Linked DNA regions of Rhinolophus ferrumequinum. The protein of the gene in region 1 interacts with the protein of each later gene in a biochemical or structural test. Links are inferred from orthologs where the notes say so. Each region holds a gene or a part of one and is shown in the gene's direction. Other genes may lie near its edges.

Evidence for each region.
Region 2: the proteins of TJP2 (region 1) and CGN form a complex in vitro, tested with the Homo sapiens proteins (2 studies listed by BioGRID and IntAct, with this or other methods). The link is inferred for Rhinolophus ferrumequinum from reciprocal best matches to the Homo sapiens genes TJP2 and CGN.
Region 3: the proteins of TJP2 (region 1) and OCLN form a complex in vitro, tested with the Homo sapiens proteins (3 studies listed by BioGRID). The link is inferred for Rhinolophus ferrumequinum from reciprocal best matches to the Homo sapiens genes TJP2 and OCLN.
Region 4: the proteins of TJP2 (region 1) and CTNNA1 form a complex in vitro, tested with the Homo sapiens proteins (2 studies listed by BioGRID and IntAct, with this or other methods). The link is inferred for Rhinolophus ferrumequinum from reciprocal best matches to the Homo sapiens genes TJP2 and CTNNA1.

What each region holds. Positions count from the first base shown.
Region 1 is NC_046295.1:36,007,306-36,014,257, forward strand, and holds the start of TJP2 (tight junction protein ZO-2), read left to right. Parts: upstream 1-3,949; 5' UTR 3,950-4,027; coding exon 4,028-4,077; intron 4,078-6,952. UniProt on the Homo sapiens protein: Plays a role in tight junctions and adherens junctions. Acts as a positive regulator of RANKL-induced osteoclast differentiation, potentially via mediating downstream transcriptional activity.
Region 2 is NC_046305.1:51,461,230-51,468,620, forward strand, and holds the start of CGN (cingulin), read left to right. Parts: upstream 1-4,390; 5' UTR 4,391-4,495; intron 4,496-7,391. UniProt on the Homo sapiens protein: Probably plays a role in the formation and regulation of the tight junction (TJ) paracellular permeability barrier.
Region 3 is NC_046290.1:44,890,953-44,898,433, forward strand, and holds the start of OCLN (occludin), read left to right. Parts: upstream 1-4,477; 5' UTR 4,478-4,582; intron 4,583-4,643; exon of another isoform or gene 4,644-4,793; intron 4,794-5,855; exon of another isoform or gene 5,856-5,877; intron 5,878-7,481. UniProt on the Homo sapiens protein: May play a role in the formation and regulation of the tight junction (TJ) paracellular permeability barrier.
Region 4 is NC_046307.1:13,645,650-13,653,330, forward strand, and holds the start of CTNNA1 (catenin alpha-1), read left to right. Parts: upstream 1-4,662; 5' UTR 4,663-4,681; intron 4,682-7,681. UniProt on the Homo sapiens protein: Associates with the cytoplasmic domain of a variety of cadherins. The association of catenins to cadherins produces a complex which is linked to the actin filament network, and which seems to be of primary importance for cadherins cell-adhesion properties.

The sequences.
Region 1 (6,952 bases):
GAACAAAGCTCTGTCTGCGGCTTTGTGGTGCACATATTGCCAGTAAAGAAAACACCTGTCTTATCAAGGCAGTGCCCCACTTTAGACTGTGATTTGACCCTTTCCCCACCCTGTCTCTCCAGCCTGCCGGTGAAGCACGGTATCAGTTTCAGAACCTCAGGACACAGAACACAAGAGCTCCCTGTCACAGGAGGCAGCAGAATAGGGCTTTGTCTCCAGGGAAAGCAAGATGGTTTCTATGGGACTGCGTTGGTGCCAGTGGCAGGGAGGAAACCTCTGCTGAGCTCTCAGTCAGAACCTAGAGTTCTTGCCCCATTTTTCACAATACTGCCCCTGTGGCCCATGGAGGCGTCTCTTTGTTTCCTTGAGCAGATTTTGAAATGTTTAGTCTTCAGAGTGGAAATGTTTATGAGTTACTGAAGATGCATTTTGCTGGTGACAGGAAAGCACAGACAAAGCAATACATACAGCATGTACCCGGAATGAAAAGAGTGGGTGGGAAAAAACAAAGATAATGTCAGTGACCAGATACGCCAGCCAGAGTCCTTTTCTTCCAACCTGAACACATTCGAAGAAAATCCAAAATCCTATTCTTCTCTGAAATGTTAATTTCAGATACAGAAGTAAATTCAACAGGTGTTTTATTTTGTGTATATGCATATGTGGGTGTATATAAAATAAATGTACCACCCAAATACATGTGGTAGCAGCATCAACACCGTATACTAGATTAAGTCAATGGCATGGATTAAAACATTTTTTTAAATTTCCTAAGTTTTTACTAATTTAGGGAATATCAAGTTTCTCCAATTATCTCATTAATTTTTAGTGGCTGGTTGGCTTGAATCAGGACCCAAACAAGAAATACACATTGTATTTCACGGACATTACTTAAGTCTTTTGATCTATAGGTTTCTTCCCCCTTCATGTTGAATGCCTTGCTACTTGTTTAGGAAAGTGGGTCATTTGCCTTTTCGAGTTTCCCACATTCTGGATTTTGTTGATCCTACCCCAGTAGTAATGTTAACACATTCCTCTCTTCCAGTACTTTCTATAAATTGGCAGTTGGATCTAGAACCTTGATCAGACTCTGATTTGCTTTTTAGGGGCAAGATTGTATCATGTGTAGTGTTGTGCATTTCCATCAGATGGCACCTAATGTCTGGCGATGTTTTCTGTGATGTCAGTGGCCTTGATCCATTATTTTAGTAGGGATTTGGGAAATGCTGGGGTTCAAATTTTGTTCATTCCTTATTGACCGAGTAGAATCATTTCCTCACCAACTATTTGGTTATCTCGAGATACAGTTTGTACATATCTTAGCCTGGGTTTCCCAGGAAGCAAAGCCTTGAAACGTGGGCTTTATTGGGGAGCACGGTCCTCGGGAAAGGAGTGAGGGACTGGGACGCAGAGAGAGCCAACTCAGGGGGGCCTGTTCTGAGAGGTGTTATAGACTGAGTCTCAGGATCATTCCTCCTGGGGGAAAAGGGAAGAATACTTACTTATCAGCTTTTATCCCCCACTGGTGGAAGGTTAGACCATGAAACATTAACTCAACCACCCTTCGGGGTGGTGTATGCTTGGGCACCAAGTTTCCATGGATTCCCCACACTGGCATTAACAGAGAAACTGGGGTGGGAGGTACGAGGTGAGGCTCTTTCACGTTGTTTCTGCATAAAGCTGGGTAGAGACCATCTAGAAGTTGTTGCAGTGACCACCTACCAGGTTGGTCCCTTGGTGGTAGGTGTTTTGAGTAAAACAGACCTTGGAATTATTTTTTTTAAAGAAAAATATATCATGAGTTCTAAATTATAATTCCAATTCAAACTTAATATTAACTTCTACTTCTGATTTTATATTTATCTTTTATACTGAAAAAAATCTTGATTCTTAAAGACATTAATATAATTACACTATGATGACTGAAAAGCAGGGTTTTTTTGTTGTTGTTGTAGTTTTTGTTTTTAACATTCTCTCCATCCTAGAGTATATACCTAAGGGATGTAGAGGCAAATAACTGTGTTTTAAAGTCACTTGACAAAATTTCTCTTTACATGGTTAAGCCGCCAAGTTGATACCCACATTCATTTGTTGAATTTTGCTTTTTAAAGTTTTGATTTAAGTTTTTCATAATTATGTAAAATTTATATCATGCCAAAGTCAAGCCTACAAAACAAGATATAGTCAGAAAAGTCTAGCTTCTATCTTGTATTTTGCATCTTTTCCCTCTCTCCCAAATAGGTAACCATTTTATTTATTAACTTCTCGTTCCATTAAAAAAAAAACATAAGCAAACGCATGTATGTTTGTTTCTCCTTTCTTAGATAAAGTGGTATACTATCTACACCTTTATTCATCTTGCTAACACTTTGTTTCTGACAAACTACTCTTCATTTTTTAAAAAACTGTACTGTTTTCTAGGCTCAATCTACCCACTTCTTGGAATAACTTGTTGATAGGTACCCACAGAGGTCTAAAGTAAGTGAACCTGAGTTGTCTAAGAAGCACTGTTACTCATTCCATTACAGGCAAAGGTTTGTGTAGGGAGGAGGGAAGGAGGGTTTGGCAGTCATAAGCAAAGCGGTCTAGAAAAAAGGAGGCATGACCCTCCCAGGAATTTTTCTTTTATGGTAACATATGCATAACATAAAACTGACCATTTTAACCATTTTTAAGCATACAATTTAGTGGCATTAAGTACATTCATTCACATTGTTGTGCAAACACCACCACCCTGCAGAACCTTTTCATCATCCTAAACTGAAACTGCACGCATTAAACAGTAACTCCCCATTACCTTCCCAGGATTGTTAACAAGACTGGATGAAAGGTTCACCTGCTAGCCAGGTGCAGTGGGGCACTAACTAGGAAGATTCTGCCTTCCCGGCAGAGCAGGGATTCCGCCTGTGACTAAGCAGGCTCCGGGGTTAGCACTCCCGCCCTCACCTATTGTCCCAGCGGGAGGAACCGGTATTTCCGGATTGGGGCCTCAGACCCTGTGATCCCGGCTAAGGGTGAGGTTGGTGGGGGAGGGGAACGGAAGCCGATCTCAAAACTTTCCACCAAAATCCTTAACCTGCTTCACATCCCTGCCCGAAAAACAAAGACCCCAACCCCACCAAACACACAATGGCCCACAACCCTCCCACCTGTGGTGTTTTGAGGAGCGGCGGAGCGACCCCCTTTCTAGCGCACACTCCGGGAGAGGATTAGAAAGCTCACCCCAGGCAGGAATAAAGGAAGCAGCACAGCCCATTCCGCCTGCCCTGGGCGGGAAGAAAGCTCAGCGCAGTTTTACAGAGAAGGGAAGAGGCAGGTCAGTGGGCGCGCTGGCTGGAGTGACCAGGCGGTTCCTGCGGCCGCAGCCCCTAGCCCACCGCTGGGTGGACCCTCTCCGTCCTTCCCGACACCCCAAAGTTGCAGTAAACTGCGTCTCCTTGCCGGGGCTCGCGCACCTGGCACCCTCGGGGTCTCGTGGAAGCAGGTGACAGCCGCTGTGCACCCCTGTCCCCTCCGGGACGCCGCTGCACAACTCCCCTGCCCCCACCTTGGATTTTTTTTTTTCTTTCTCCCAAACCTCCAAACAGGAAATAGCTTGAGTCACAATAATACACAGGAGCGGCCGCTGAGGCCACTCACGCCCGCCCATTCCCGGGGCAGCCTCCCGCACTGCGGCTCGGACAAGGCGCCGCCAGAGACGCGCGCGGGGAGCGCAGGCGACAGCGGCCCAGCAGCCAGTGCCGCGTCGGAGCGCGTCCAAGCGTCGCCCAGAGCTGCCTTCACCCTGCGCCCGACTCCGCCGACCGCGGCCGCCACCCACCTCCAGGCGAGTAGTGCACCCACCGCCCTCCCCTCCCCGGCCCGGGAGCGCGGGCAGGGCGTCCCGGCGCTGCCAGGCGCGGCAGCCCGGGCGTCGCCAGGAGACCTTCCTCTCGCCCCGGCTTTAGCAAGGGAGATGGATTCTCGGGGTGTGTGGCCGGCACCCTGGATCCGTTGTGCGGACGGAGGTGAGGGGCAGCGCGAGTAAATGCGAGTTGATGCCTCCGCTCCAGAACTCCGCGGGTTCTACTTTATTGGGTATTGATTTTTTTTATCCCTTTTTGTGGGATGCTTAGCAGATTTTTGCTTCCCCGCCCCACTCTCGCCCCCCGGGGGTATGTGTAACAGCGCTTCATAGGGTTTCTCTTGGGGAATCCTCTGGAAGCGGGTTCGAGCATGCACCTGGGACAACTACAGGTACTTGAGAGTCACTTTCTTTTTCCTTCCTACCTGGCCTTGCTCCATCGCCCCCAAGGGATGGGAACTGGTTCACTTCCTGTTGAGCTTCTTTTTAACCAGATTTAAAGAGCCTCTGAGTTTCTGTTGGCACAGCCCTTGTTTGCAGTACTATCTGGAGGGGGCCGGAGCTGGTGCCTTGGGGTATACGCGGGTCCAGGGTGAGTTGAGCTGCCAGCGGAGTTTCAGCTGCGGGCCTTGAAAATTCTCCGCACACCTGGGAGCTTGACTATCGCCCTGGAGGGCTCGCGGGCCCGCAGACCCAGGATCTGTGCACTCCTGTGCGGCACAGCCTTGGAGAACCTTTTTTTTCTTTTTCTTTTTTCACTTTCTGACCCACTTGTAAGGGGGAGGAGGCGAACTTGTCAACATGCTGGGCGTTGTCAGTTCTCTAGGGCTCCATTGCAAGGTTCTTCTATAGGGAACCCAGTCAAAACCGAGTTGCGAATCTTTATGTTGGATAAAGGCCACTGAATTCCAGGCATTCTTCGAGCCTGAGAAGGGTAGTTTCAAGATTGTTTTGAAGTCTGCATGAGGGCTTTCTGCGAAACTGCCCGTGTCAATTACGCTTACATATCATCTGTAGCTGCTGCTTACTCCCCGAGGTGGGTGGGTTCTCTCGGGAACCCCCTTCTATCCCAGTTTCTCAACGCACTTTTACAGATGGTGGTTGGGAGGTGAATTAAGTGCTTAACCACCAATTCGCTTGAAAGATAAGATCAACCCACTGTGTTGGCCGGTGAGGGGACCTGGTTCTAGATGGTTAGGCTGATAGGGTGACATTCTGTTTACTTTCAAGTGCCCTGGGGCCTTGGTGCTTCACATGAGTCCCAGGGTCCAGTAGTGGCATCACTGGGGACCTGTTAAAAATATAGGATCTTAGGCCCTATATGCTGCTGAATCAAGATCCCCAGGGGATCATTTGCATGTTTATGTTTGCGAAGCACCATCGGAGGTTTTGTGTCTAGTCTAATGAAGTGATACACATTTCCATCCAGTCCTGCATTTAAACCTTCTTTTTGCCAGACCAGGACAAACACATTACAGCTGGTGGGTGAAAGCCCTTCCGCCCCAGGGTGGCAGGCAGATTCCCTAGCAAGATTTGGACAGGTAGCATACCAGCTGGTGAGTTTTTTTGTTTCTCAAAACTTTTATTCTTTTACTGTTATGATAAAACATACACAACATAAAATTGACCTTTATAACCATTTTCAAGTATACAATTCAGTGGCATTAAGTACATTCACCATGTTGTGCAATCAGCACTATTCATTTCCAGAACATTTTCATCCATCCAAACAGAAACTGTACCCATTAAACAATACTCCATTTCCCCCTATCTCCAGCCCCTGAGCTTCTGGAGATGGTTAATGACATTTTTTTGTAGAGTACAGAAAAGTTTGATTAGGAATATAAAGTAAAAGCAAAATCATGTTCCCAAAATATGAACAAACATTTGGAAATTCCTTGGTCACTGGCCTGGTGAACAAGGCACTATAGTTCCAGGTTCTTAGAGTGCATGGGCTTTCTTTTAATAGAGACAACATTAACCCACGAGAGTTTCTTTTTTGCTTTGGCTGGAAAAGAATGGAGCTACCCAGGGCTCAAACTGCACTAATTAACTAAGCGTAGATGCCTGGTAAAATCTCTCTGTGCGTCTTTTAACTGGTTTTATTTTAGATGTCCTGTTTATATTGAGTTTAGTGTGTGTTTTTTTTTTAATTTTTATACTGACTCAAATTTATTTTTGAAAGTAGTTGAAATAAACCTTAAGAAAAAAAGTTGTTGCTTGGTATATATATGTATATGGAAGAGGTCATAGAAAGAAGATTTGAAACAATTTTTCTAAAATACCCCAGATTATTTTGTTTCTGCTTTGATGTTAAATGAATCTAATGGTCCAACAACATTATTTCTAGTTGAAAAAATGCTTGTATACAGGAAAACCTTGTAATAATGAAAAGTCATCTGTTTGCATCTACTTAAAATTGTCCAACTTGTGATTTGAGGGCATGCTTTTTGATGAGAACATGTGAATTTGCGAACTAATAAAAGTGGTTTCATTCTTGATCTAAGAAAGTCATTGTTAAAGATCAAGACTATGGTTCAGAATACATAAGTGATCAGGGATATTGGGAAGATTTAACACATAGCCAAATAATAGCAGATTCTTCAAATTCTTCCCAGATTCTTTTTCTCATTCTAAGACCCTTGACTTTTCTTGTATTATGACTTTCTTGTCAGAATGAGGCTATCAGCTTGTAGGAAGGAATTTACAGCTTCCTTCGATTGAAAAGTCCCTTTGAAATGATGAATGAAGATCATTCAAATGGGCAAGATTTGGCAGAAAATTTCTCCCATTTTAGTAGATTGTTGCATTCACAGGATTTCAGATTGTTATTTCCTTTTAATTCTAGTATGGCAAGAGAGAAAAGCTTATCCCTTCCTCCACTATGTTCTCTTCTGAAATTGTAGTATAGTTCAGTGTTTTATTTGGTGAACAAATTCTATTTTGTAGTCCACACATGAGAAAAAAATTCCTTAGAAAGTGTCCAGTGAATGGTTTGTTCAGTGATTCAGTGATGCCTGGAAAATCACTTGGGGAGTTTAGTAAAATCTGAAACTCTCCCAACTACTCCAGACCTGAGTGAGAATCTCTGCATTGGAATCTGTAGGT
Region 2 (7,391 bases), on another chromosome or scaffold:
CCCCACCTCTCCCGCAAGAAGCCCAAAGGAAACAATGCAATTATGGAATTCAGGATCATCTTCTTAATTTCTCAGAGGAAACTGAATTCCAAGGATATTAGGAGACTTGGTTAGAATTGTATCGGTCTCTTGACTCCTGACTCAGTGCTCTCAATCAGTGTTGTCCACTCGTAGAATCTCTGTGGCTCCACCTCCCTAGTCAAACTGAGGAAAAGAATAAGGGTCAGAAAGAACGAAATATCTTTTGGGCACTCTTGGAGATCCTGAACCCAGGATCGAGTGCGTATAGCAAGTGAACATATGAAGTATTTCAGGTGAGTCATCAAGTGACCACTTCTTATCTTCTCTAACAACACGCATAACAGAAATTTTAGTCAACCAGGAAAAGCCCCAAGCGATAGTATAATTATATATTATTATTTCTGTTGAAGAGCAAAGTGTTTGTAAACAAAGCTTGAGAAAGAAATGATGAGTAATTTACTAGAAGGACATGGCGGGGAGTGGTCCCTTTCTTTTCCCTCCCTTTGCCCCACTCTGTGTGGCGCTCACTACCTCACTTTGTCACTGCATGGGTTATACTGACCTAGGTTAACCTTCGGAAGCACTGCCACCTTCTTGCTCAAAAACCTTCGATGGCTCTCCATTATCTACCCAAAAAGCCCCCAGTCTGATGTTCAAGGCCTTGCATAATCGATCCCAGATGCTACCTTTCTGTCTCATTTCCCACTACTCCCCTGTCTGTTTGCCCAACCTCTGGGAGCGCCTTCCAGTCCCCACAACAAACATGACACTTTCCTACCCCATGACATGTGGGCAAAAGAACCTTTTGCACGTTTCCTTGCCTTTATTCTTCCTTTGCTTTCAACTACTCGTTTCCTTTCAAGGCCCAGATTGGATACCACCCTAATTCTAGTTGAAAAGGAGACTTTCTGGGAGCTTTTCATTCGTGCCACTCATTTGGCACCTATCACATCCTTTGTTAGGTTTACAGATGATTCCAACAGTTCCAAAACTTGTCTCCGATGTCTCCAGCCCTCAGAAGCACTCCTTTCTTTGGCAGGTTCAGGAGTCCTACGACCTCAAGTTGTCTGACTCAACTTCCGCAACTCTCGTAACTCCTTCATGCCCGGTCTCCCAATTTAAGTTCTAGAACACAGATTTTACCTTTCCCTGTAGGTCCAGGCTTTGGCTGTTCTCTCTCTCCCTTTTATTATTATTATTATTATTATTAATTTTTAAAATGTATTTTTCAATTATCGTTGACATAAAATATTATATTAATTTCAGGTGACCCTTTCATTTCTTGACTCTCGGTCACTCTTCGGGGTTAGTCTCAAAATATAACCAACTCTCTCCATCCTAAAAGCAAAACAAAACAAACATAAAACTTCCTCTTTCTTCCACCCTGTTTTTCTTAAGTCAAGGTACCCTTTCTCCTCCTCTTTTCCTGATATACTTGTTATCGCAGTCTGAGCAGAGGGTCTGCAGCACAGCTGAACTGACATCTGGAAGATCAACTTTTAAGTGCCTGTCGTGCGGGGCAGCCTGCGGGGTCTCTGGTCCCGCTCCCCACATAAGAATGCAGGATATGGTGAGGCCAAAAAGGAACACCCAGGGAGCCATAGATGGGGGAGTCATACAACTATATTCTCACTGGCGGCATCCACCTCTCTGCAATCCGCGCTTGCTAGCTCAGCCACCATCCTCTTGTTAGCCTCCATTTTTCTGCTAGCATAGCCACAGCAGTTATATCAGTGGCCAATAGGTCACTGGTTACAGCTGATGGCCAACTAGCCACAGCTGATGGCCATGCCATCACAGTTGATGGCCATTTACTACCTGAGCCAGCACCTTTCCACGTGAGGCTGAGAGCCTGGAAACTGCACTCCTGGTTCTGTCCCCACAGTGCCCAAGTCCAGTCTCTTTTCCTATTGGAACATCTCTTTTCCACGGTCTTTCCCACCTATGCCCCTGAATGCTCCATCACTTCCCCCGACCCCCATCTGTTCCATATTTCTCAAGGTTTTTTCTTCGGTCCACTTTGCAAACTTTCACATCTATGAGGAGAATACTTAGATTCGTCTCAACCCCTAAATTCTCTTCTAAACTTCATTTCTTAGACTGTGTGTGTGTCCTGCCTACTTCTCCAAGATAGCAAATTCCAAAGTTGGTTTATTATACGCTTCCTTTCCTGGGTCCTCTCCAAACCCTTCTGTCTCCTGTCCTTTCAGTCTCAGCCAACGACATCACCACCTTTCGGTCATCTATCTTTAATGACTCTTCCTGTGTAGCCTTCCCTGCTGCTCCATGTAGGAACTGGTCCCAGCTTAACAGGTGATCTTTGAGATAAGTTTCAGTAGAGTTGTCAGTGGACCTCGTGATAGTCTTGGAGAACGCAGGAAAGACGTGAGGAAAGAATTTAAAACAGAAATTGGGCTCCAAATTCACTTCTTTGATGAAATCTCCAGTTAGCCTAGACCTTTCTCCATTCCATTATTTCCCAAAAGTAAAATTACCCTCTTGAATTTATATCCATGTTATTCGTTTCTTCTTTCTGGATATGCTATTTGCTCTAATTTTGTACCATTGCCATATTTATAAACTGGCCGATTTTTGCCAAATTGTAGCATTTCTTAAGGACGGGGACCACGCACTCTGGGGAAAGACCGTGGTGTCACCTTTGCCACCTGTGCCTGATGGTGTCCTTCTGAATGAGGCTGTTTCCTTGAGGAACAGATGACAGGACCGTGATGGCAGAGGCCTCCTGGATTTTCTTTGTTGTCTATGTTCAGCGTGCTGGGGTGGGGTGTCTCCTGCACCACCCTTACTCTGCATTTACTACAAATGCGCTAAGTATCCTAATTATTAAGGTGTTACCCAGGAGAGTTGAGGCGTTTCCACTTTTCCAATATCTGGGTCAACTCAACAATCTCACATTTCCAAAAAAAAAAAAAAAAAAAAAAAACCTCTTAAGAAACCCCACCCCCGCGGTCTGGAGGTAACACAGTGCTGGAGGCCTACCCATCTTCCGATCCCCACCCCCACACCTTTTGTTGCAGTTCCTCCCCAGGACATTGGCTGGTTTGAGGACTCTAACCCTGACATTAGTGCTTCCCTTGGAATGCAGAGACTTTGCATCGGAGCCAAGAAGCTAGTAGGCGGACTTTACCCTCCAGGACCCACACCTAGCCACTGAAGGCTGGGGGGGAGGGTAAGGAAATAGCTCCCGCGAACGAACCCGACTGTCAGCTGCATTTAAGATTCCTCTTCAACCCTGAATAGGTCCACAGTAAATATCTGTTGAATAAATAATTGAGAACAACATCCAGGGCCCGGCGACATAAGCTAAATCAATCTGCTTTTCCCCCTGTCTCAACGGTTACGATCTAGGGAGCCAGCTTTAACAGCCGTGCTGTTGAACCACAGCTAGAGTAGGAGCCTCATGTTTGCTGAGCCCCGGCCTGATCTTACTCTTCTGGAGACTGGGATCGATTTCCCCACTTTTTAGAAAGTGCGTTTACAATTTGGGCTTGAGTCCCCTTCCGTTCAGAATGAGGCTCACTCCTATTCGATGTCAAACCACATCCCCCTTCAGCATAAACTTCATCCCATTCATTCATTCATTCTACACCTACTAAGCGCCCAGGACGTGCCAGTCCCTGTTTTAGGCGTTTGCTATAGATCAAGGAACAAAACCGGAGAGATCCTTGCCCTGGCGGAGCTTACGGTAGGACGAGAGACAAACGATGAATATGATTTTTTAAGATTAAATTACGTAATTTGGAAGGTGATTACTACGGTGAAAAGGGTACCAGGCTAGAAAATGATTTGTGGAGGCCAGGGGATGGGGAAGAGAATCCTAAATTGGGATTCTGGCTCAGGTTGGGCGAAAAGGAGACGAACTGAGGTGGAGGAGGCTCTGACATCGGGAGACAGATGTTTTCTGCAGAAGTGACGGGAGAGTAATCCGCTGTATGCGGAGGTAGGTGAGGGCTGAAAGGGCTCTGGACAGAGATTCGGGTTGAGAACACCGGAGGTGGCGGAGGGGGGGGGCGGGCTATTTTCCAGCTGAGGCCAGAGGATGCTCTGGCGGGCGGCTCCCGGGGCCGGGGAGGGGGGGCGTCTCGCGTGGCCCCCAAAATGGCCTCCTGCTGCCCCTCGCCGCCCCGCCCAGGCGCTCCATCGCCCGCCGGCCCACGTGACCCGGCCTGCACCTCCCGCCCACCCCGGCTGGCGACCCCGGGTCCCTGTCCCCGCGGTGGCGGCCCCGCCCCTCGCGGGAAACGGACCAACCAGAAGAAGGCTAAGGCGGGGCGGGTGGTGACGGCCAATGGGGGTGGAGCTCCAGAGGGGAGTAACAGGTTGGTGGGAGGGGGAGAAAGAAGGAGGGAGTGCGGAGGGACGGAGGGGGAGGGCCTGGGAGCCGCGCATGCAGCTCTGCCAGAGCCGGAGCCCGAACCCGAACCCGAGCTCGGGAGCGCCGAGCCCGGCTGGGGTGAGTGAACCGAACCGGGGCAAGGACACCTGAGAGGCAAGCGGGCCCTCAGGTGTAACCCCTGAGGGGCGGGGGTCGAGGCGATCCGAGATACCTCCCTCCAGGGCACAGGTGCTGCATCAGGGAGAAGACGAGAGGTGAAGGTAGGGCGGGAGTACTGATTAAGAGCTGACTCTCACTCCTAGGTGCCAGGTGACGGGCACCTGAGACTAAGGCTATTCCCAGGGCATGAAAGCGGGTCAGGGCCAGGATCTCTCTTGGGGTCAGAGGCCGGTCCCAGGGGCAGAATTTCTCTAGGAGACTGGGGTGCTGGGGGGAAGGAGTTCGTCTCAGTTGGTCGAAGGGAACTGCTGCCAGGTTCAGAGGCATAAGGGGGAGGGCGTGGAGAGCTGTTGTTCCTTGAGGTTCTGCCCCCTGACTGCCAGTCTAGCTGGTGCTGACAACCTCCCTCCTGGCTTTGAGATGGATCTGAGGTGTGGAATCTTTCTCTAACCATTCACCTACAGGTGACGACAGTTGCAAATAAGAGACGCTGAGGGGCCGAACAAGAGGGTAGGGCAGTCTCTTTGCTCGGTGTGAAACTGTTTAAGGCTTGCATGCCAGGGAAAATGTTTCCTTCTTCCTCTTGAAACAGTACTCTCCCAGGGAGAGATATGAGGAAGCAAAGATCCCTAGGCCTACAAAATATCTAGAACTGTGTCTTTCTAATGAAGCCTCTTTCTGGGGGCTCGTGTCAAACCCTCCCCCCCAAACACACCGTACTTTCTTCTGTGGTTCGAGATGGAGCCATTGGGTGAGGTTTGGGAGCCTAACCAATTTCCTTGAAGCCTCTTCGAAGATCCCCATTATTCCCTAAAACGCCACCAGGCATCCCTGACTCCGGGACCATGACAGACAGGCAGTGGACACAAGTGGTGCAGGACATAGGCAGGACTCCTCAGGAGACCACAAAACTAGAGGAGTTACCACCTCCAAGTCTCCAGCTAGATGGGAGGTGCACACTGGGGCCCCGACAAGACTTGTGACAGAGATTCCCTTGCCCTAGGCAGGTAAGGGAACCAGAGCCAGCCTTAGCTCAGCCCCTTTGATGCCCTGCCTGAGGAAAGTGGTTGTAATTGGGAAATAATTAGTAACCGCTATGTTGTAGACAGGCTGCCTGCAGGTGCTTTTGCACCTCTTCTTTCATCCTGGATATTTGGGAGTGGGGGGCTGGCGCTAGGGGACTGCTAAGCCAGAGATTTGCCTGACCCTAAGAGGATTCTGGCTTCCTAGAACCCTTCCTGCCTTCTCCAGGCTGAACTGCATGCCTTCACCTCTGTGGGAGGTCAGGAGGGAGGTAGGGCTGCTTCTCTATGAGTGGGGAAGGGGAAAACAGGGGAAAACGAAGGACCAGGGAGGTGGCCAAAGTTAGTGTGGGATCAGGAATGCATCTTTGGGAGGGAGGGGCAGAGGGAGACCAAGGCTTCCTGTCACACACGGCCTGTCACTCATTGTTTTTGTGCATCTTCTCCCGCCGGCTCCCTCTCTGTCTTGTGCCTCCTCCTTCAGAGCCTTGGCTTTGGCTTCTAGGCTGGACAGAGGCCCTGCCCATGGTTTTGCCCCTCTGCCTCCTCTGGTGTGGAATTTCTCGTGTCTGCTTTGCAAGCAGCCAGTGGAGTCTCCCTGGCCCTCCCCTTGCCTCTCAAACCAGTCCAGCCAGTTTGCTGGGGCCCAGTTCCTGATTGTGTTTTCTTCCGCCACTGGCCAGGCAGCTCTAGCCTGGCTCTCAGGTTTCGGCTTTTTCAGTGGACCGAGCCAGCACTCCACTTGGGGGGTTCTTTCTGGATCCATGGGGGACCTTCTTATCTCTGTAATTCTATTGAGAAAATAGGAGCCAAATGATCAAGGTCGCTGAGCTGTCCTTTTCTATTTTGACCATGTGCTTTTCTTGTTACCTCTGAGGGGAGTCTCATCTCGACCTCCAGTTCTCCCATTTTCTAAATCTGCCAGGTGCGTAGCATCTAGCATATTGCCCGGCCCTGTGTATGTGTATCAGTTCTTCCTCCACACACCGAAACCACCCCACCCCCACTTCCTGCCAGGAGTCCAGGGACCCTGTCACTCCTAGTTGGAAGCCAGACGCTATGGCTGGGCCAGAGGTGATGGAATTGGGGCAGGGCAGGCTAATGAGTAACTCAGGGAGAAGTGGCTGGTACAGGTGCAGTGTCCTCCCCCAGCTTGTAGGCAGGACTGGCAGAGGCCGACAGATGAAGCTGAATTCACTTGTGGCCTGGGCTCTTCCCGTTGTCCCGTTGGTGAGGAGCGGCTTGGGCACATGCCAGGGGAGGGAAAAGCAGGGTCAGACATCTGGTGAGAGCGAAGGCTCTGGACTCCATGTTGCCTGGCGCTGGATCACTGTTTACCTGCCTCTGGGCCTTAGGCAAGACCTTGGAGCTGCCTGCTTCCTGGCCCCGCCCCGCCGTTCTCTGTAACTGAAGGCGGATGGGTTTCGGGTTTTCCATGTTGAATCATTTAGAGCCCTGCTTTCTGACCCACCCCAAAGATTCCTTCAGTCCTCCCGGCCCCTGACCCACATGTCCTGGGACTGGAGGTGGTGGAGGTTAGGGAGTCACTGGGACCTGGGGGTGCATTCCTGGCTGCCCCTGACCAGCTTGGTGCTCTTGGGGGAGCAGGAGGCCGGGCACTGTGCGGAGCGGAGCCTGGGAACGTCGTGACCTGGATCTGGGAGAGCAGTAGACGTACTGACAGGGGAGAGCTGCAGCATGAATAAATCATGTGACTTTGGAGAGCTGGCAGTCTAGGCACATCTGGTTCCAAAATTATGACTGACTAGGGCAGGGAGTCCAGGCCAGGAGAAGGTCTCGTTACTGGGGCAAATGAGAAAGGACTCTGAGGG
Region 3 (7,481 bases), on another chromosome or scaffold:
CCTTACTCTCTTTTTTCCTCTTAAGGTAACCACTATGGTATCTTAACTTTCATGGTAATAATTTCTTTGCTTTTCTTTGCGGTTTTGCTGTTATGTATAGAATCCCTAAATGATGTAGTTTAGTTTTGCCTGTTTTTGAACTTTATATAAATGGAATCATACTGTATTTTGGGACGGCATTGTTTATTGTGTTCAATATTATGTTTAAAAAATTCACCATGTTGTCAGGAGTTGCTCTATCTAACTGGTTCATTCTTATCCATTACACTCCTTTGTACAATTTTTTTTTTTAGGATTGTTTTACCTATGCAACCTATGGTTGCACTCTGAAATCTTTTTATGGGTAGTTTAAAGGAGTTTGGGTATTTTTTAGAGACAAAAAGCAGTAAAACTGTTAAGAACATTAATTCTGGAATTAAATGACCTGTGTTTGCATCCAGACTCTACAACTTAGCTGATATCGTGAGTAAATGATCAAAACTTTTTGAGCTTTACTTTCCAGAAATGGGAAAAATAATATTACATCGTAAGATTGTTGTGAAGACAAAAAATAGGGTGGCCAGATGGCTCAGTTGGTTAGAGCGTGGGTGCTCAACAACAAGTTTGCCGGTTCAATTCCCGCATGGGATGGTGGGCTGTGCCCCCTGCAACCAAAGATTGAAAATGGCAACTGGACTTGGAGCTGAGCTGCGCCTTCCACAACTAGATTGAAGGATAATGACTGGGCCCTGGAGAAACACACTGTTCTCCAATATTCCCCAATAAAATTAAAAAAAAAAAAAGATTGTTTTTTCGTTTTTTTTTTAAAAGAAAGACATAAAAGTCCATAAAGCACTTAGTACAGTGCTTTGCACATGGTTACCCTGAATAAAGGATGGCAATTATTATTACTATTATCCCACTTGTTGAAGTTCCAGTTCAGGAACTGACTGTTTAACCTTGGCTCCTCCTGGAGGATCTTGCTTAATACATAGCAATTGAGATAGAGCTTTACTCACCATACGTCATCATCCTCAACATCCTCTCAGAAATTGCCTTCCTGATGACTTCCCCATAAATTCCTCCATTAATTTGTCCAAGGAAACTGCCCTAGGAGCCTCCCACCTTGTGATTGTGATTGGGTGGGAAAATTAGAGGCCCTTCAGGCCAGGTCGTCAGCAACTCCTGAGTTGCCCTTGAACAAATACCAATCCTTGGATTCATTTATTAAGCAGGTGAGGCAGAGTGGAAATATTCTAATCCCCCTTCTTTTCTTCTTTAAGACCTAGTACTAGAGATGTAAGCCCTGAAATGCTATTAAGGAATGTGCTGTTTTCATAATGACAGAAGACTGTCTGAAAGATGGACAAGACTCCACAGGCATGCTGGATTCGAGAAACAGGGTTACATTCATTTGCTCATTCAATGAGTATTTATGGAATAGCTCTATGACAGGGACTGTTTCAGGCAGATGGGATACAGCAACGACTTGTTAAATTTATTGAGACTTGTTTTGTGGCCCAGCTTGTGGTATGGTTTCTCTTGGTGAATTGTCCACGTGCTTCTCAACAATTTTAGGAAAAGAGTACCATTTATTAATATCCCAAATGTACAGTGGGGAAAAATGAGCCTATGTACTTCAATTTCCCTTAAGGATTAATCCATCCAACTAATAAGTGGCAACATGAGATTTGAACCTATATTTCTGACACCAAATTCTGAGCTCTTAAGTTTCTCCTTTACATATAAAACTGAAGAAAAACAAATTGGTTTTTATCATTTGACAGCAGGTAAAATCAACAAATTTCTAACCATAGTTCCTCTGAGAATAATATTTACTTTGACTCGTGAGGATTTTAGTCAAATAATGTTCAACAGTGGGTCATAGTCCATAATACTGCTCTGAGTTGTCAAGAAGGAATATTTGATTAAAAATAATTAAAATTTTGCTACGATTTATGATTAGGTAACATGACTACACTGAACAGGACATCCAACAAATTTTGCTGTTGAAGAATGATGTGTTTAGGTTTTGAGGCTGGATTTTCTTTTTGAACATTTTCCACTACTACCTAATATGCACACTGCTAGGCAAGAGTTAAAAGAACACAGTTTTTAGATTTTTCAATGTTGTCAGCATCATTTGGAAAATTAATCTGAATGGAATAAAAATGGCATACTATTCCAATAGAAATATAGCTTGGTCCTAAGTTGAACCACATGAAACTGCCATTTTGTAGTTAAAATGAACAATTATTTCCAATTTCATATAGTTCAACTTAATAAATTCTATTACTCCACATGCATGAATTCAGCAGGAAAATAAGCCTCTCCAAGACAGGGATTTGGGCGTTTTGTTTACTATTGTGCAGATAGTAGGCAATCAGAAAATGGTTGTTGAATGAATGAATAAGGAAAGCAAATAAAATATGGTAACTAAGCTTCCATTCTAACACAACATGCCTTTGGGTTTAGGTTTGGTATGGGAATAAGAAAAATAACATATGAATTAGCTAATCTCTTAAAGTGATAAAAAGTTTAATTAAAAAACCTAATTTACCCAAGAGAATTAAAAACATATGTCCGCACAAAACCTTGTCCATTAAAATTCATAGCAGCATTATTCAGAATAGCTAAAAAGTGGAAATAACCCAAATTTCCTTCAACTGATGAAGGTTTAACCAAAATGTCGTATACTCATGCAATGGAATATTATTCATCCATAAAAAGGAATGAAGTACTGGTAGGTACTACAACATGAATGAACCTTGAATATATTACGCTCAGTGAAAGCAGCCAGACACAAAAGGCCACATATTTATTCACATAAAATGTTCAGAAAGAGCAAATCAATACAGACAGAAAGTAGGTTAGTGGTTGCCAGGGTCTGGAAGCAAGGGGAAATGGGGAGTGACCGCTAATGGACACAGGGATTCTTTTTAGGGTGATGAAAACATTCTGGAATTAGGTAGTGGTGATAGTTGTACATCCTTGTGAATGTACTAAAACCCACTAATTGTATGTACACTTTAACATTAAGGGTGAATTTTATGGTATGTGATACATATTTCAATTTTAAAAAGCGGGGGAAAAAACTAAGTTCTCTTCAGAACATGTCAAAGTACACTATAAAATAATAGATGTGTTTATAAATCTAAGAGTATTAGAAAATGTTCTCTTGTTTAATTATAAACCAAGTGGAATGTTTGGAGATTTCAGTAATCTGACAGGGAACATTAAGAGGATTAACCTGACTTCCCAGTGTTAACAACATCAATTTAAAATGCATCATTCAAAAACTACAGTCATACTAAAATAATTATAGCAATGACTTCCATGAAAACAACACCAATCAGATTAATTACCCATTAAGGCTCTCATCTATTAAAATACCTTATATTTATATAACGCTTTTACTTCCTTAACTATTGAATTATGCCTTGAGATCTATTGTATGAGAGTCACAGCTCTAACCACTTAATTAAAGGCAGAGAAGTGGGTGGGATTGTACAGAAATTGATTAGCAATGCTGACATTCCAGCTTGGAATACAAAGTGAGGCAGAATTTAAGAAACCTAAAATCCAGCCTTCAATGCAGATGGTAAGTAGCAAGAACTAAAATTGCCAACTTCTGGAGTAAAATTAAAAAATATATATTGAAATACAACATACATATATACGAGTAAAAGTGTATATATACATCGTGAAATGTAGACTATGAATTTTCCTAAGAGAACGCTCTTTTGGAAACAGCCTCCAGATCAAGAAATAGAACACAGCACACAGAACTAAGTTTATATTTTTTTAAGCTAAAGAGAATATTAAGATAGTTTAAATCCTCCCAAGAGCAGATTCTCCATCATATCAGTTAAATTTGGGAAGGGTAGCAGAGGAGCCTGAAGTGGTAATATTGTATACCGTTAGTATGCACTTAATTTTGATGGCAAATTTACTGACACCAGTATCTACAGTACTTCACCTTCATTTAACCACTCAGAGTAATGGTCTTTTTCCCTCGATCCAGAGATTCAGAAACATTTCTTAAATTTACGCATAACTTTTGAAAATCTTTCACATCTGGATGCTTCTTTCTAACAAAATTGAACCAAATTTTTGGAGCAGGCAAGTGTTGTGTGAAGACGTACTTTTTTTCTTGCCGAAAGCTGAGCTCTCTTCTGGAGGAAAACAGTGTTATCTAGACCTCAGTCCACTGTTCTATCAGAAGCCCGCGAAGATCGGAGCACGCCCCAGGGTGGTCTAGGCCCCCCCCAACCCCCCAAGCCCCTGCCCCGGAACCCGAGCACTTCCTCTGAGCTGGATCCCCGCCCCTCGGCCCGAAATGCGGAGTTTTCCTTTAACTTAGAGCACTACAAGGGTGTGCGGAGCCGAGCCAATTCCTCCCGCCTTCTTCTCCACCGCTCCCTTCCCCCTCCCATCCGAGTTTCAGGTGGATGGGTCACCGAGGGAGGACGCAGCCACACCTCCTGGCCTGCGTACCTCCTAGCCTGCGTCCACCTCCCCCTTTCTCCTTCCTCCGGCGGAGGCGGCGGAACTCCCGGGAGAGCTGGTCAGAGCGCCAAGGAGCCCCGGCGAGGTGCAGCAGGTGAGACTCACCCGCACCCGGCCGCGGACCCTCCCGCAGCCGGGCCTGGCGTTGGTGCGCATGCCCGAGGGCAGGGCGGCCGGGGTGGGGGGGCGAGAGGAAAAGGAGGTGAGCTGAGTCCCTAGCTCTGTCCCGGGCTGCGGGCTGACGGCCCGCACAGCGTCAGGTGCGCCCGCCAGGTGAGCGAGCTCCCTGGGTCCCGTCGTCCTTGGTAGGTCGGGCTGGGCTCCAGTGAGTACGGGAGAGTTGGGCGCGGGACCCGGGCGCACGGTACCCCCAGAGTCCCCGCGGCGCCTCTGTCTAGTAGGGGAGGCGCGGGGAGAGGGCACCCGGCCGTGGTTTCGGTGGCGGTTTCGTCCCTGGGCTGTAACTCGCGGGAGCCGGAGAGGCGCGCGTCCGCGGAGCGAGCAGCGCGGGGCTAACTGGGAGGCTGCCCCGGGTGCCAGGGGCCACTTGGAGGCTCCGATCAGCTCCTTCCGCGGAAACGCTTAACGCTTGTGCGCCCAGGCGGCTCGGGCAACTTTTCGTAGTTGCCGGGCGGGAGGTTCACGAACAGTGAGAATCCTGCGCTCTGCTCTCCGGGCTGCTGTTCTGAGGGGTCCTTACGGAGAGGGGCACAGCGCCCGGCTCCTCACGGGTCTGGACCCCCAAGGCTGGAGGGAGGGCGCCGCTCGCTGGCGGGGGCAGCTTAGATCTTGGGGACTTCATTATTTCCGCCTCCACCCCACCCTTTTGGGTATCCCGGAGAGAGAGGGTGGCCGGGTTGAATCCGTGGAATACTATTCCTGGAGGACAGTGTGGGCCGACCGGCTATTCTGAATCCACTTAGTGGGAGTTGGGTGAGCGCTGTGGATTTCAGCTGGGGGGCGGGGATTTAATTTCGAGGGAGGCTGTATTTCGAGGGAATCTGCTCACGCTGGGATTCTCAGCCGTGACCAAAAGGCCTCGGGCGGTCCCTGTTGGGCCAGCGCGCCCTGCCGAGGGTGCTCCTGGGCGCCGGGGCCTCATGTACCCGGGGACCTGCCCCCGGCCCGGCCGCTGGGGTCTACACCTCCCCGTCCAGCAGACATGTTGCCTGCGTCGGAGGAAGTGCGGGGAGAGGTGGGTTGAGGGGCCAAAATGGCCTCTGCACTTTGCGGCTGGAAGAGACTGGAAGAGCGACTCCAGGCCCCTCGTGTCCCAGGTGAAGCGACTCAGCCGGAGAAGTCACGGCATCCTCAGGCCGGCCCTGGCGCGGGCTGGGCACACTGCCCACCTGGGAAATGAGGCGGGGCGGGGACGAGGCAGCGTTCCAGGTTAGTGTGTGGCCCTCGCGCACAACAGGTGTATTCTTGGGATCCCTGGAAAAGAGAAACCCTTCCCATTAAGGCACTGGTGTTGATGCTTGCTGTGATTGAAAACTACTTCTTTCTAGACGGAGGTGGATTTCTCAAACTACGCATTCCCAAGTGTAACAATGTTTCTTTTCCGTTGTACGTATAGATCTTTATTTTCTGTGTGATTTTTTTTTAATGTTTTAAATGGTTGAGTCACAGTAATAGATACCTCCTTAGGCAGAGCAACACTTTTTTTTTTTTTGTAGTTTTGCATTTATGCCTCCTTTGTTAGGTGATGGAGAGCAGGATGGGGAGGTTTAGACAATTCCGGGTTATTTAGGGGAATGATGGGCAGTGCCTCCTGTGTGGGAGGCCCTGTGCTAAAAGCGTTTTGTACCTTATATCATTTAATCAGCCACTCTAAAAGGTAGACCTTATTAGAACCCTTTTTAAAGGTGAGCGAACACCTGTAGGGCAAATATGTTACAGGAGGGCTGGATTGAAAAACTACTTCAGCTTATCAGGGAATGTATACTAGAAAAGCAGCAGTTCTTGATATTCCAACATCAGAACTAGTTTTGGGGAGTTTCTCTGAAATTCTCTTTTGATTGGTCCCTATGGCCTCGTATAAGTTTTCTGCATCCTATTTGATGTCAACGTAAAATTCTTCGTGTTCTAAAGATAAAGTTGGAATTATTGCCCTTTCAAAATGATAAAAGATTAATTGTAACCTCATTAATTAACTGATATCCTTCACTTTCCCAGGAACCTTCCAGAGGAAAGTTTTCTTCAGTTGAATTTTGAGGCTTACTTCATTAGAATATTTAGTGGGCTTTTTTTCATCTATTTATGAAAATATTAGAGTAAAAACCCCATGCAGATTTTTGTTACACCTTTTGTTTTAGGCTTCAGGCTTACAGCTGTTCTGTAACTTAGTTACCTTTCCAATCTTGAATGTAGTATGAATCACCTAGGGATCTTACTGAAATACAGATTCTGATTAATAGGTCAGAAGTGGGGCCTGGAATTTTGCCTTTTTAACAAGCTTCCTGGTGATCCCGGTATGGTTTTGTGTATTTGACCTTTTTCTCTCCTTTGCCTTCAGACTTTAAGCTCTTAACTACTTTTGTTGAACTTGAAGGATTGTATTTACTGGGGGTTAGGTGAGTGAAGAACTTCAAGACATTCATTGCTAGATTGAAACCCCAACTGTAATGTGGGCTATTTTTTTTTTCAATTAAAGTTTATTGCAGAGAATTGTTCAAGTTACATAGGTTTCAGGTGTACAATTCTGTAATACATCATCTATATATCACATTGTGTGTTCACCACCCAGAGTCAGTTCTCTTTCATTCACTATATATTTGATCCAGCTATTGGTTTTATAAATCAAAATATTGGTAGAGCATCACTTTGTACCTGGGATCAAGAATAAGTGTGATGGTCAAGATAGACATCTAAGTGTGAAGCTGGTATTCTTGTTGGGGTGGAGATTGTGGCACTAAAAAAAAAAAAAAAGGAAAAACTAATAATTTCATTGCGGGGGGGTGAAATTTGCTCTGAAAATAAAACAGGTTTGGTGA
Region 4 (7,681 bases), on another chromosome or scaffold:
GTGTCCCATCTCTGATCATCTACTTTAGTCCTCCCACTCTCCATCCACAGGGAAGTGGGCCTTGAGTCATCGCAGGATTAATTCAAATGAGATGTCACAGACTTCCTGACCATAGGGGTGGCTGGCCAAGTCAGCCCCAGGGATCGCCCTCTCTGTATATCTTTGAGAATCTCTTCCACTCCCACAGGTCTGAGAAAATGAGGATCTGTTGTCTGCACCCTCCTTCCCCATGGGCACAGCCCCTCCTAGGCAGGGAATGCCTGACCTGAGAACTGTAGAAACTGTTGCAGGTGGGGGGTGGGAGAATAATAGATGCAGAATAAGCAGAGGGAACCCCCTCTCCTCCTGCACTTCTCTTTCTTTTAAATTAAAATATTTGTTTCTTCTAGGGCTTTGCTCATGCTGATGTGTGGGAAACCATTTATGCTTAATATTTCCAACCCATTAGCAGCCTGGCATGGGGCTCTGCTAATCAGGTTCCTTAGTGCCAGTGCTGTGAAGAGTGGGGTTGTGAGTGTCTGCAGCAGCTTCTAAGCCTCCGCTGGAGAGGAAGCATCTAGACAAAGGTCAGGGCCCAGATAGGCTCAGAGGTGTCCTGAGAATGACTCATCCAGGTTAGGAGGCCCATCTCATGGTAACTTGTCCTCCTACCTTCATTTTGGTAGAGACACCCGAGTAGGCCACCTGATCACCTTTGGTGAAATAGCAAGACACCCCTCTTCCCCCCCTCCCCCCCCCACTCCTACTCTAGCCTGCTCTCTCCTCACATCAGAGGACAGAGGGTTCCTTTGGGAGAACATTCCTGTACCAGTGACCCTCACGCAGCATTTATTGAGCACCTCTCAATGCGTGAGAGTCTTTCTCCCACATCACCTGCTTCCCCTTGCAAAATCCCAAACCTACACTTTATTCTGTCACCAAACAGGTGGTGAGCGCCTTTGGCCTGGAATCTAGGGGATCCCTGAGGACTGTTGAGCTGTAAGCCTCTCTGGTTCTCTGTTGGCTGCTACTTCTGCAGCTGCCCTGGAAGACTTCGGGTTCTGTGGCTTTGATCTACACATGGAGTATGTGGGGTGCCCTCATTTAAGGGTAACCAGGTAATATTCTCAGAGAGGAGGCTATGCCCTGAATCCAATCTTGAAGTATTTGTCTCTTGCCCCTCTTGACATCTCATGATGCTTTTGGTCCTACTAGATAACTCAAACTACTGGCAGATCTACAAGATGCTGGGAGGTAAAGATACCCGCCTCTCCCCACAAAACATTTGAGAGAGGAGAGGAGTTTCTGCTATTAAAAGGCATGGAAGGATCCAGCAAATGCCAGTGACTGGTTCATGCTCCCACTCCCCTCATTTCTGGGAACTCCAGGGCCTGAGACACGTTGAGTACCTCTAATGGGGACCTCAGCACTGAGCCTCAACAGCCATCAAACTCACAGCACTAGACAAAGCTGACTTTTCTCCTTCCAGTCAGGGAGAGCCCATATGGGCACCTGTATTCCGGGCCACCAACAAGCTGCTGGTTGGCAAGAGTTTGGGGGCCTCCTCTTTCCTTCATTGTCCATCTTGGCTCCTCAACCTCAGATCTGAGCCATGGGGAACCTTCTCCAATTTGCTGGAACAGGACATCCTAAGCTGCTCCTGTTGTGGTCTGGGCCACCAGCTCCCCAGCCTGCTGCTGCTAGAAGAAGGCTAGGATGTCAGTAATCAGTCCACAGCATCGCTCCACGTGCCAGGCCCTTCCTGGGAGGTGTGGGGCTCATTTGGAAAGAATCACATTTGAAGCAGGCAATTTGCAGAGAGACAGGGAGAATGGAGGAAGGGAGAAGTGCTAGGTGGCCAACTGGGCAAAGCCCTGTTTCAGCCAGGCCATTTGTGCCCATAGTTTCCCGCAGCCCAGCCTTCCCACATGGCCTGCTCAAGCCCGTCTGCCCAGCTGTCATCCCCTTTCGTGCTCCTGAGCCCTGGAGAAATGCCAGAATTTCCCTTCTCTGTCCCTTCTGCCTTCTGGGCCCCAGCTGGCCCATCCCCAAGATGTACAAACCTTCCAGCTGGAGGCTGGCTTGGAAGCAGACAGTGTAAGCAGGGCAGGGGCTAGAACTGTAGGCTTGCGTTCATGATTTAGTATTCCAAAGCCAAGCATAGGTGGGCACACTTAGCGACTGAAATGTCACCTGCTTCCGGGCCCCCTTGCCTACCAGAAAGTCATCTCCCTGAAGTAGACTTTAGACGTAGGAGACCCATGCTTGACGCAGATCTGTCCCTTTTCTAGCTGGTTGTTTTGGGCAAGTCCAGTCCAAGTTGAACCTTCTGAGTCTCCACTTCCTCATCTGTAAAATGAAGTGTTAAGTAGGGTAATTTGAGAAGGAATGAGTAAACCTGGAACTGCAGTACAGATCTTCGTTTTCCTTCTCATGCCCTCTCCCTTTGGGTCCCCTTGGATGCTGGTCAAATAGGAGCTGCTCTTGTCTGCCTGAGGGGACAGGGTGCCCCCCCAAGGCAGCTCCACCCTGCCCAGGAGCAGCCAGAGCCCTGAAACACCCAGGAAGGGGTGTGTGAGCCCATATCTCTGTGAGCCCATATCCAGGGACCCAAGGGGGGGTGAGTGGAAAATAACTTAGGTCAGAGGAGGCACTGTGAGGCTGCAGGTGGAGGTGAGCAGGTGAGGTCTCATTTCCACTGCTTTGTCCCAGAAGCCCCCAGAGTAGGTGTGTTGTGTGTGTGCAGGGCTTTTCTCCTGCCCAGACCTGGCCAGGTTTGAAGGAGGAATCCCCATGGAAGATTGATGTCACGGACTTGCCTTCCCCTCCCCCAACCTCATCCTTGGTGTTTTAAAGAAATTATTTGGACATAGGAGTTAATGGAAGTAGCTTGCTAGAGTGTGGGCAAATTCATCACTGTCTCCTTGCATTCCAAGAGCAGATTTGTCTTTCAGGGTGAGATATCCTGGAGTGACTTCCAAGGTCTGAGAAATATAGGCTCCCTTGGGAGGGCAGGGTTAGGGGCAGCTTGGGTAGGGATTTTGGGAACCTGGGGTGACTGCAAAGTGGCCTTAGGGATGGGCCGGGAGGGCTTTCCTGTTTGTTTTTCAGTTGTGGAGGGAAGGGAGGCAGAGGGTGTTGGCATTGCTGGGAATCCTGCTGACCCCACCCCCTGCAGGCCACTGCTCAGGGTGAGGAGGGCTGCTTTTGCAGCTTTTGTTGGCAGTGATGAAAGAGGGGCAGGGGGGCTGTTTGATGGGGTAGTGCTCTGGAGAGAAGAGGACTAGCGCTCTTCCCTTTCATCTCCTCATTGGAGCAGCGCAGCACTTCCTGAAGGTGGCACTCAGGGAGGAGCTCTTTTGAAAGCACACGGACCTAGTGCTGTAAAGCGTGGAGGCTGGGAGGTGGGGGGATGTGAGCAGGGAAGATAATCATGCAGGTGGGGGGCAGAACTGTCTGGGTTAAGAGAGGACTGCTGCCCCCCCGCCCCCACAGACAGGCCTTCCCCACAATCTGTGTGTGTGTGTGTGTGTGTGTGTGTGTGTGTGTGTGTGCCCTCACTCCTACATTGAATGCGAGCACAGACATACAGCTATGAAATGATTAGACGGAACATGACGAGAGACTGCGGAGGCTTGTTCCCCACCTCTCCAGCCAGTCAGATGGTTTTCCTCAGATGTTTATTTGGATTTTATTAGGTTGGTGCAAAAGTAATTGCGGTTTAAAAGGTTAAAAATAATTGCAAAAACCGCAATTACTTTTGCACCAACCTAATATTTGGTTATCTCTCTATTCTTCATTCTTGCTTCTTCCTCTTCCCTTGGTTTCTCAGTGTCCTGTCTCTTCTCTCTCTCTCTGAACTTGAAAATAGGAAGTGTTGGACAAAGACCCTTTCTACTAGCTGCCATTGTTCAGCATGTAACAAGATGGATTTAAATCAGATGAAAGAAAGAACTAGGAGTGGGGAGTAGTGGGTGGCGAGGAGAGAAGCCGACCACTAGGACCGGCTGTGGAATCCTATAGGCTCATAGACTGTTGGAGCTAAAGAGACCTGACGGACCTGCAGACAGGGAGCCAGAGGTCCTTTTGCAAACAGCTATTATTGTCTCTTATAATCTGTATCATCAGTGGGAGTTTTGGAGGTGTCCCACTGGCACCTGGGGGAGTTCTGGGGAGAAGTGGGGTCTCTCCTTTGCTCACAAGGCTGCAGAGCCCCCACTGCACACTCACTGAGATGATTCTCTGAATGTGGAACAGCCTCTTCTCTCGAGGCTCAGAGGAGGCAGGGATTTTGCTACGCAGAACATAACTTCTCCTGAAGCCAGGGACCTATGCAGCCTGGAGAGCCCTCATCAGAGCTCGGGCTGGTGCCCGGAGGCCAGGCTGCAGGGCCCTCATGCGTTGTCCTCCCAGATGGATTGCTCTCTAGACATTCCCCTCCTCGGTGACCCCTGGGGAAGTTCAGCTCTGATTAGGCTCTGGCAGTGTATAAAGCGGGCAGCCTAACGCGTGTCCCCTTTTGCTGGGGCAACTGGAATCTGCGTTTAACACTCCTTCCTTTCTTCCCCCCACGACGGGCTTCAGCGAAACCAGACAGCAGGGGGCACTCGTGAGTCATCCCAGGAGAAGATTCAGGACTGCTGTCTGCAGCCTGGACTCTGAGAGCACTGGAAATTTTGCCTGTCCACGTGTCAATCTGAGGGTAAGCAGGGCAGACCCTTTGAGAGCTGGAAGCAATCTTTTTCCAGCAGGCAGAGACAGAGACTTGAGAGAAAACTGGCTTTTCTGACTCGTCCCTGATTCCTCAGGCTAGAAGGAACCTGACTTCTGCCTCTGGGAGATCAGCTAGTAGGGCAGGTCTCCATCCAGGCTCCATGGCCAGTGCCAGATGGGGCCAGTGGTAACTCCTGGCCCCTTGCCAGCCCCAGCAGCTGACCCTGGTTTGGCTATCTTTGGGGCGCTGAATTTTCTTCAGAATGACTTCCAGTTGAATCTGTGTGGCTATGGCCCATGCCTTGCCCACTAGGTTCTTCACAATTGGGGTGGGGGTGGGGGGCTTTTTCTTTCTCCCTGATCTGACGCAGTCCTCTGTGACTGTTCCTGGACTCGTCTGCGAGTCAGATGGGGATGAGGTGAGGCATGGAGTGCTGAGCAGGTCGGTGGTACACACGTGGTCCTTTCCTGACCTGTAGCTGACACAGCCAGGGCTTTCTGGGCAGCAGCTGTTTTCAAGGCCCCACTTCTGTTTTCTTGCCAGTTGTCTCCCTCAGATGTCCTCATCTCCACCCAGTCATGCTGAAGCACCGACCCTCAGGAATTCCTCCTTCCCAGTGACAGAGCCTGTGTGGGCATTGATTTACGGGCACAGGGAGGGTAAGATGCCTGCATGCAGTGCCCAGAAGAAACGCCTGGCCTTTGGCTCTGGTACCTCCATGTCCTGTCTGTTCACAGAATGGGGAGAGTCCAGGCCAGGGTGCTAGTGGGGAGGCTGGGTTCTCTGGACTGGAGACAAAGGCTTATTGCCAGCAGAGCTGAGGGCACAGGCCCAAGTTTCTGCATTTATTCTGGGGGAGGACAAGTCCAAGTTATCCTCGAACCTGGTTTCTGACATCAGAGCCCAGAGTCACTGGTTCTCCCTAAAGTCCAGCTCTGTAGGGCCTCAGGGTTACTTTGAACATTAAGGCAGCAGGTCTTCCAGACTATGGAGGAGGAGGGTTAGAGGAAGGGAACGATAAGGACAGTGTTGGGGGCCCTGGCCAGGTCTGGCATGAGAACTGCCTCCTCTCCCTCAGTGTTTTCAGGGTCCTGACAGCCCCAGCCCACCCCCACTGAGTCATGACCTTTCAAGGTCTCTAGGGCTGTAGAGGTTAGGTGTCTCCCAGCTCTTTCAACTAGGGCATTTTCCCCGAGGTTTCCCCTAAGTTCTTCCAGCTGCAGTTTTAGCCCACCCTTTAGCTTGTGGCACATACTGGAGACCCCTGGGACACCCACCTGTGCAATTCGGGTGTGACTGGACCAGTGAGGCACAGATATGTGGAAAGGTCTGCGTCCCAGAGCAGGCTATTCATGGTTCTCAAAGGTCAGAAGTGTGACTGGGCCCTGGCGGAATGTTGGTGTTTTCAAGAAGGAAGACGGTGAGGCTTTGGGAGCAGTCTGTAGTTGGTCAGCCATATCTGAGGTCTCCTTATGCAAATAAGGCCTCAGCTGGACCAAGAAAAGACCTTTCAGAGTCACTGTGGCCCCGCCTATGTGGTCCTCTCATCCAATCTCTTGTGTTGCCTCCCCGAGCCTGGCGTCTGGCCCTCTGTGTAGGGACAAAACCTTTTCCATTCTAAATGACTGTTTACCCCTTTTCTCCAGTGTGCTGGGCGTTAGTGGGACATCATCCTGCTAAGGGAACCTCAGGCTCCTGAGACGGAAGTGAGGGAAGGCAGAAGTCACAGGCTCATTCCTGATCTAGAAGTGAGTTGGAAATTTACTGGCACAGGTGTTAGAAATGACCACTCCTCACCCACCCACCTACCCACCCACCCACCCACCCACTACCATCCCAGAAGCCTCATTTTCATAGCCCCTCCTGCTTAGGGAACTAGGAGTTTGGACTAGCTCAGTGATGGCTCCCTGATACGGAATCTGACGGCCTGTGGTGAGAAGCGGGATATAGAAATCATAATAATAACAGCTCCTATTCTGAGCACTTTCTACGGTAAGGGGTTGGTCTAAGCATTTCACATGCTTTATCTTGTATAATCTTTAAACAACCCATTAAATCATGATCCCTATTTTACAGATGAGTAAACTGAGGTACACACTTAATGACAATAACAATTAAAATCGTAATAATGATGATAAAATTTTAACAGCTTTATTTTTTTAAAAACTGATCCATGAGCAATCACATTATGTGTATATTATGAAGTCCTGGGAATTCATTATATCATCCCCATTTTCAGCTAAGGAAACTGAGGTGGAGAGAGAAGTGACTTGCCCAAGGTCACAGTCTTAGAAAGTGACCAAGCAGGAGCCGAACCCACTTCTCTCTGATTCCAAAGCAGCCTGTGCTCAGGATCCCTTAGCAACACTGCCTCCCAAGGGGCCATCATGGAGACAGCGGGTGGTTATGGAAGAGAGTTCCGTTGGCTTTTAAAAGCAGGGTGCTTGTAAACAAACAAACGAAATAACAAAAAATAAAAAAAGATAAAAAACCAAAAACAAACCAAAAAAGCAGGGTGCCCATGGGCGGGGCCCCATTACCTTTCAAGGTAGTAGCCGTGACATCTGCCATTCTGGGAAACTGTGGGAGAAGCACCCCTCATCCCCACCTGACAGTGAGGGAAGCTTTGATGCTGTCTTCTCATCTACCCAGGCTGTGTAAACACAAAAACTGCAGGAAAACAGATGCTGGAACAGGCTGGACGGGGAGGCAGGGGATGTTTGCTCTGGCCCGAAGCTTCTGCCTCCCTGCTCACCCTGAGATGTGTGCCCCCACCTTGGCAGCCTGTCCTGGGGCTGCTGTCAGTCTCTGCTCTCTTTCCCTCATCACTGTGAATCTTGCTGGGCTGCAGTTGCCTTGGTAACTTGATGGGAAGCTCTTGAGGTTTTCTGGAACCAGAAAGGGCTACGGAGAGAGAAACCGGGCTCTGTTAGGCTGCTGGTCACAAAAGGGAAGAAACCATCCCAGTGCTCACTGCCCCTGCCAGCC